Rhinolophus ferrumequinum: one gene and its partner. The protein of the gene in region 1 interacts with the protein of each later gene in a biochemical or structural test. Links are inferred from orthologs where the notes say so. Each region holds a gene or a part of one and is shown in the gene's direction. Other genes may lie near its edges. The genes, in order: KBTBD8 and NOLC1.

Region 1 (3,916 bases):
GTCTTACATTTATTTTTAAAATATTAAGTATCTATAATGTTCCAGGCACCTTGTTAGATACCAGCAACACGAGAGAAGTAAATGAAAACATGTTAACACTAAAATTTCTGCTTTCTTTCGTAAGGCTTGCAGCCTATGAGGCATTAAGAATAGGAATTACTATTCACATGTTACAGGTAAAGGAGCTAAGTGCTCAAGAATTAAAGGGTCTTATCTAAGGTCCCGCATTTAGTAAGTAAAGAGCTAGGGATTCAGTAATCGTCCCTGGCTCCAGGCTCAAGGCACTCTCCAGTATTTCTTCAAAGGAAATCCCAGACTTGTATTTAGTATCTTAACTCCTCCATTTCACGGGAGCAAAAAGGAAAGCATCTTGAATCCCTCTATAAGGTTCACGTGCTCTTAAAGGTGGAACAGGTGTTCTCTGAGTGTTTGAGAAAAGCAAGGCACGACTGGGAGTTAAGATCCCGAGCAGCCCTTGTAACCAGACCAAGTTAATCTGTGGAAACCGAAGCACTCGGCCAAGGCGATGCTATTTCAATTGGGTGTCACAGGTGATTCATCAAAGATGGGTTGCTTTTGGGCCTCCTGATATTTTTCTTCAGGGTGGGGTGTCAGATTTCCTTCGCAGTTTTGGACAACAGCCCTCTTCTCCATTTCCAAGTTTTTTTGTTTTTTTGTTTCATAGCCTGCTTTCATACCGGAAGCTAGTCATTGGCAGGAGGTTTAAGGAATGAAGAGCAAGATTAAAAAAATAAATAAATAAATAACCCGGGGGCCTGAGGAAGGCCTAAAATGGGGAAATTTTCACTTCAAGAGCTTTCCCTACCCTAGCCTCTCAGAATGACAGCTCTCTTTCGCCAGAAGACTACCTCTCCCGACAGGCACTGCGCGCTCCACGGACACAGGCTGGCAGGCTCCCCACTCTCCACCTCCGCCAGAACCAGCCAATAGGAATACCAGACTTGGGCCTCCGCCCGACCCGGACCACGCGGGAGAGAAGGCAATAAAACTACATTTCCCGAGGTGTCTTGCGCACGTTGTGACCAATCAGCGCCAGGAATACGGAAGGCTAGGGGTGGAGCCGGATGCATAGGCCACCCCATTGGCTAAGGGAAGCTTAGAAGAGCCGGAACCCGGGAGAGAGAGAAGCGAAATGACATTTCCTCTTTAAATAGCTGGAGCCGGGGCCCCGTGGAGAAATGGCCGCGTCGGCAGGTGGGTCGTATCGTGGCTAGGAGGTGTGTTGCGGGGGAGGTGGGCCGGGGGACGGGCTCAGGCTGGGAGCTGTGAAGTGGAGATGCGGAGCCGGAAGAAAGGATGGAGAGGTGAAGAGGGATAAGGGGAGGGAGGATGGATGGCGTGGAAGGCGGTGGGCGGTCCGGCCGGACAGGGATGGGGAGGCCGGGTACCCGCCGCCGTTCCGACACTTTCGGGTTGAATGGGTACTGGCGGCCGCCATCCATTGAGCGTCCCTCGTGAGGCTCCTGCCCTCCGCTCGGCTGGGACGTTCCGGCTCTCGGCACAGTCGCCACAGACACCTCGCCTGTTCTGTCCGCACGGTCCCTCCGCGAGCACGGGGCATCGGGCTCGCCTGGCTCCGGGAGCAGCAGGCTGGTGTTTGAACTTGCAACGCAGCTCGCTTTCTCCCAGATCCTACCTCACGGCCCCATTTGGTGGTGTATGTACACATACACGTATTTTTGTACGGGGGGGGGGGGGGCAAAAAACAAGCCAAGCAAACAAAGCAGGGAAAAAAAAAAAAAAAAAGCCCGCTACGCCGTAACTGGTTCCGAACTTACTGTGGTTGTACGATTTTCTCCTCCTAGATTTAAATAAGTCTTCCCCAACACCGGATGGGATTCCATCTTCAGACACAGCCAACGATGCCATGGACCCCTTCCATGCTTGCAGTATTCTTAAGCAACTCAAAACAATGTACGACGAAGGACAGTTGACAGATATTGTAGTGGAAGTGGATCACGGGAAAACATTCTCCTGTCATAGAAACGTTCTTGCTGCAATCAGCCCTTATTTCAGGTATGATAATGGTAGAAACTTCTGTTGATAACCGCATCAAGTTCCCTTTCTCCCTCAGCATTGGCCATTTCATTACCACACTGAGGAGCTACAATGAAATGAAACCAATGAGTTTGTTTCCTAAAATAGGTCACAGGCCCTGTTTTTTAAACTCTTGTTTTTGACTTGTTGGATTCTTTTAGAATTCAGGTGGTTGTTTTTTAAGTTAGTGAATATTGTTTTGCTTCTTTGTTTCAGGTAAATGACCAGAAAATCTAGAACTGCATTGCCCAATATAGCAGCCACTAGCCACAAGCGGCCTTTTAAACTTTATTTACAATTAAAATTAAAATTTCAGTTCCTCAGGCACACTAACCACATTTAATGTGCTCAGTAGCCATATACACAGCCCAGATATAGAGCATTTCTATCACTGAAAGTTTTATCGGACAGTGCTGGTCTAGAATTTGTTACAAAATTTTATCCATGGTGCATATTTCTGTAGTGCATGTAACTCCTTTAGAGTTTAAAACGTGATAGCCTGTTCTTTTGAAAACAAATCACCTTACTAGGTTGTTTAAATACCATGGGTGTGTGTGTGTCGGGGGGTGAGGATGGGGGTAAAAGCAGTGACATAAAAATATAGTTTCTGTGTATTTCATACTTCAGACTAGTGATTTTTTTCCCCAAGATTTCCAGAAGTATTTTTAAGCTAATTTTTCATTTTCATTTATACACATCTTTGTATATCACAAAACTTTGAAAAGTAAATTTTTAAAACTTGAGTCTAAAAAATAATTTCATACTCTAAGAAAATATCAGTGATAAAGGCAGTTTCCTGCTTGAGTCTAAATTCTTTTGTTTCAAGTGCTCACTTTGCAAAGCCTTTCAATGTTCAATAATGGTGCATGAATGACAAGAAATAATTTTCTCAATCACACTCTAAGTGTGCTTTTTCCTTTTGAAGGTGCTTACCTTTATAGGGCATATAGCAGTATAGTATTCCAGGCAGTAGTTTCTGGTTCCTCTTTCTCAGAATACTGGGTTAAATATAGTCACTTCAGTCAGATACTTGTGATTTAACTGTTTAGACTTGCCTAGGGTAGGTCATTAGACTATTAAGTATTAACTATCACAAGACAGTGAGCTGGAAAGAAAAAAGAAGAAACTCATACAGTACACAGAAGGTATAAAGTTTGGCCTGGTAATGAAAACTGCTGGTGAGATTCACTTATCCAGACTGTCCATTAGATATGGGTAGGTCATTTATGCATTTAAATATATGTCATAATTAACTACTTATCAAGCTGTTGGCTAAGCTTACTTTATATATATTGCTTTATATAACTTTACAATTCTGTCTGTGCATAGTTATTGCCATTTTTCATATGAAAAAAATCCTGAGGCTCAGGGAGGTTAAGTGGCCTATCTAAATCACCTATTAGTAAGGGGCAGCGGCTGGATTTGATTCCAGTGCCAGGCTTCTTTGTCACTATATGACTTTTAAGGAACGAGAGTGGGTCCTCTTTAAAGTTGCCTTTCAGAAGTTTTTATTACATTAGATTTGAATAGTAAAAAACCAAACAAAGAAAAAAAACCACACAGGAAATATTTAGACTTCAAAGTAAAAATGTCTGTATATTACTGAAATGTTATGCTCTTATATCATTTTGGTGTCATACTTAATTAAAATTAGTTTTGAAGACCTAGACCATCACAAGACACTTTAAAAGAGAATATGGTATAATAGATTTTAATTTCCAAGAAGTTAAGGAAATGCTTAAGCATCAGATACATGAATTCAAATGAAGATATTTGGCTAGAAACGTAAGGATTGGGTTTTTATGTCTTACTAGAGGTTTTCGTACAGAAGTTTTTTGGCCCAGTGCCGCTCCCTATG
Region 2 (3,916 bases), on another chromosome or scaffold:
TCCTTTCCCTTCCTGAGGGGCATTAAATGGGAAGTAGTCAAGGGGTAGTGGGTAGGATTGAAGGAATTGATGTCTGCTGATGTGAACTGAAATATGATAGAATTTGGAATTGGCAGGCCTGGGCATTGACATTTGAGTATTCAGGACAAAGGGATAGGCAGTTGGGGGGTTTTCTAGATCTATGTGAACTGTGACCCAGGAGGTAGAAGGGTTATTATCAGGACTATAGTTTGAACAGATTGCTGCTGTGTCACCCAGGTTTGCTGCACAACCCCTTTTACCTTCATGGAACTAACAGACTGAGTAAGGAGGGGAAAGGGTTGTCTTATGGGCAAGACATGAGTGAGGGAGGGACAGTTTTGGGGATCAACACTCCACCTCTACCACGGATAATCTGAAGGATCCTTTTTCATAGAGGTGGGAATCCAGAGGCTGGGGTGGTATCTGAGAAAGGGTCTCCCTAGGTGTTGGAGGCGGTGAAGATAAAAGGGTGGGAATCCTTTGGTAGCGAGGAGAATGGGGGCGGTTGGGAGATCTTATGCCGGGCTAGAGCAGGGGTGTCAAAACTGCAGCCTGCAGGCCAACTGCGGTCCGCAATCCATTGTTAATTGGCCCACAGCAAATTCCAAAAATATATTTAGTTTACTTAAATAAACCAGGTGAGGCAGTATGTACTGCACCTGGAGTGAATGGCCCAGCTGTTTGTGTATTTTTCCACATATGGCCCTTGGTGAAAAACGTTGAAAAAAGGTTGGACACCCCTGATCTAGAGAGTCCCAGGATAGCTCGAGCCCACGGGTCCACATTACTCTAGAATCCGAATCCCAGCTAGGGCGCTGGAAAACTGCTGCTGGGAGAAAAGGTTCCTCCTGGAGAAAGACGGCGCGGGAAGTCCAGAGTTTTCCCGCCATGGCCGTGGGCGTGACCCCTTACGTCAGGGCTCCGCCTTCACAAAGTGGCGGCGGCAGACTCCGCCCTTACCAAGATGGCGACACTCCTGGGACCGGAAAGAGTTTACAGATTTCGCCTTGACCCTGCCTCCAGGTGGAGGAGGGACTGCCCTGTGGGGTGTGCCCGCCCCTTCCGCTGTGCGCTCGCGCGGCGCGATGGCGTCACAGGGTTTGTCCTCGCGTCTCCGGGTTCTTGAGTTCCTCTGTCGTGCGTGTCGGGAACGGTAGTGACGCGTATTGCCCGGAGGATGGCGGACGCCGGCTTGCGTCGCGTGGTTCCCAGCGACCTGTATCCTCTCGTGCTCGGCTTTCTGCGCGATAACCAGCTCTCGGAGGTGGCCAATAAGTTCGCCAAGGCAACAGGCGCTGTGAGTCCCGGGCTTGGGGCACGGGCCGGGTGGGATGACCACGGGGCTCCCGGCCCTGACATGCTTAGGTTGCCAGGTAGGTCGGTGGGGTCTGCCAGCACAGTGTCTGTGGCGCCTGTGCGGAAGTCTCCGCGGTGACTGGAGAAAGCCTGGAGCCCACGAGGTCTGATTAAATAGCGCTGAGTCTTGCTGCTTTTTTTCTGGTGAGCAGTGCTCTGGCGGCAGCGTGGGACCCTCGTGGCCCAGATCACGTGGCTGGCGAGTGCGGCGTGGAGGGAGTGCCCTGTACCACCGGAGGGAGGCATTGGAGACTCCTGGTTCATTCTTTGGGCCTTACGTTGGCTGATGCCAAGCGTGACTAGATTTTAATTCTTAATCGAATTTATCCTGGATTCAAATATAAATAAAATTGCTTTAGAAGCCTGGGGTTTTCGTTAGTAAAGAAAATGAACGAGAGTAGAGGCAGGGTTCTGTTTTCAGTTATACTGAAGTGGGATTGAGCCTCATATCCCTACCAAGCAGGCACAGCAGTGGGCTTGGATCTTTGACTTGTGGAATCAAACACATACAGGTTTGGGACCAGGCTCTGCCGCTTAAAGATGTATGACTCCAGCTTGCTTAAACTGGATCAGTTTCTATTTCTATGGGGATATCGTCATTCACTTTATAGGATTTTTGTAAGTTTCAGTAACCTGTATTCAAAATGGCAATCGCAGTGCCTGGTGCTCAGGAAGCATCAGTGAGCGAAAGCTGTTATAGTTTTGGTAACTGAAGATGTTCCAAACAGTAAAAGGAAGATGACCAGGGATGTAAAAGGTTTGGAAGCTACGTCTCAAGAAAAACAGACATGACTGTATGGGAAAAAACCTTAAGAGAGGGTAGAGTGTCTCGCAGTGCTAGTCATTGACGAAGAAGATAAACTTGTTATTTGATGCAGAATCAGGCTGCACAAGTTGAGAATCCGATCAGCCTCAGAAAGGACTTCCTTAAGCTGGGGCATGCCTTCCTTAAGCTGCCATGTGATCCGATATAACTGCTTTCATATTGGAACTGGAATTGACTGTTAGGGAGGCTGCAAAGAATGTTTCCACAATGGACTGGATGGAATTGGCCCTTTCAGAATTGGGATTCTTTTTTATGTGTCAAAAGCTAATCTTTGTGGAGGGCTTACTAAGGGCCAGATGTTTTCCAGATGCTAAACCCTTTATGTGCCTTATCTCATATCCTCTCAACAACTTAAAATGTGTAGTGTTAGTCATCTCCATTTTATAGAGAAGAAAACAAGCTTAGATTAAGTAGTTTGCTCATTTAACTCGGAGCCTGTACTCATGTGTACTGTAATGCCTTGCCATTTTTTGCATCAGTAATACAGAGGGTGCCAAAAAAATGTATACACATTTTAAGAAAGGAAAACTATTAAAATTGTAATAATCAATATATACCAATAACAAAAGATGAATTCAAGTCTTGTTTGACTTCTGCAATTACAAGAGGTGCTCAAAGTGGTTACCATCAGCACGTCCAGACACTTCCTTTTTTTTTTTTTAATGTAAGAGAATAAATCCACTTTATTCAGTTTTCAGTAAGTTTAAATCCTTGAGGGGTACAGCATTACATGGATTCTGTGTCCTATGGCCTTAGCAGGAAGGTTGCTTTGGCATTTGGCATGAACCATGCCACTGTTTCCATGGAGTTACCTTTCCCCAGATTACTCTGGTTTTGTTCGGTTTGCCACCAGGAGTCACTGTTGTTCTTTGCCTTGTACACATAAGCACATTTCTTGCCTGGGTAGAATTCAGTTTCATCCCGAGCATAAACACCTTCAGTTTTAAGAAGAGTTGTGTGCATTCTCTGGTTCTGTAGACCCGCTTATAGCTAGCAAAAATGGCTTTGTACCAGCCTTCCAGACATATTTGTTGTTTTAGAAGTCCTGTTCCCAGCAGGCCTCCACAGGCTCCAAGATCCAGACACTTCTGATTACAGGCGAACTATTGCTTGAGCAACATTGACCAAAGTATCCACTTGTATACATTTTTTTGGCACCCCCTGTATATACTAGTGTAATTAGTAGCTGGATGCAATTCTGTACTGAATACATGACATACATAGCTTTTTACCAATCTTTTCTTGGAGGCTGTTTTCCAGTGATTTGGTTTTATAAATCATATTGCAGCAAACATCCTTTTTATAAATGTTTGTGCCCTTGTTTCATGGGTAAGATAAATTCCTAGATAATACGTTGTTAGAGTAAGGGAAATGCACATTTTAAAAATCTTTGATAAATAGGATGGACAGGTGAGGGATACATGGTGCCAGAAACTATAAGACTAGCCCAAGCTTTTGGTACCAAAAATTGGGAAATACATGAAGAGAATATTTTTTTCCTAATTTGTGAAAGTAGGAGAAGTCACACAAAGTTGTAACATTTATGTGAACTATAGCAGGTATAAAGCAGGTCATTTAATGAGAGAATAACAAAATCTGATCTCCCCTAGAATAACCAGGATAAAGGATAAATTATTTTTACCCAGTCTCTTTTCTTTTCTCCTACAGACCCAACAGGATGCCAACGCCTCTTCCCTCTTGGAAATCTATAGC

What was found.
Region 2: the proteins of KBTBD8 (region 1) and NOLC1 form a complex in vitro, tested with the Homo sapiens proteins (2 studies listed by BioGRID). The link is inferred for Rhinolophus ferrumequinum from reciprocal best matches to the Homo sapiens genes KBTBD8 and NOLC1.

Annotation. Positions count from the first base shown.
Region 1 is NC_046300.1:60,788,797-60,792,712, forward strand, and holds the start of KBTBD8 (kelch repeat and BTB domain-containing protein 8), read left to right. Parts: upstream 1-1,133; 5' UTR 1,134-1,199; coding exon 1,200-1,215; intron 1,216-1,542; exon of another isoform or gene 1,543-1,678; intron 1,679-1,826; coding exon 1,827-2,037; intron 2,038-3,916. UniProt on the Homo sapiens protein: Substrate-specific adapter of a BCR (BTB-CUL3-RBX1) E3 ubiquitin ligase complex that acts as a regulator of neural crest specification.
Region 2 is NC_046299.1:22,809,559-22,813,474, reverse strand, and holds the start of NOLC1 (nucleolar and coiled-body phosphoprotein 1), read left to right. Parts: upstream 1-1,111; 5' UTR 1,112-1,198; coding exon 1,199-1,318; intron 1,319-3,871; coding exon 3,872-3,916. UniProt on the Homo sapiens protein: Nucleolar protein that acts as a regulator of RNA polymerase I by connecting RNA polymerase I with enzymes responsible for ribosomal processing and modification.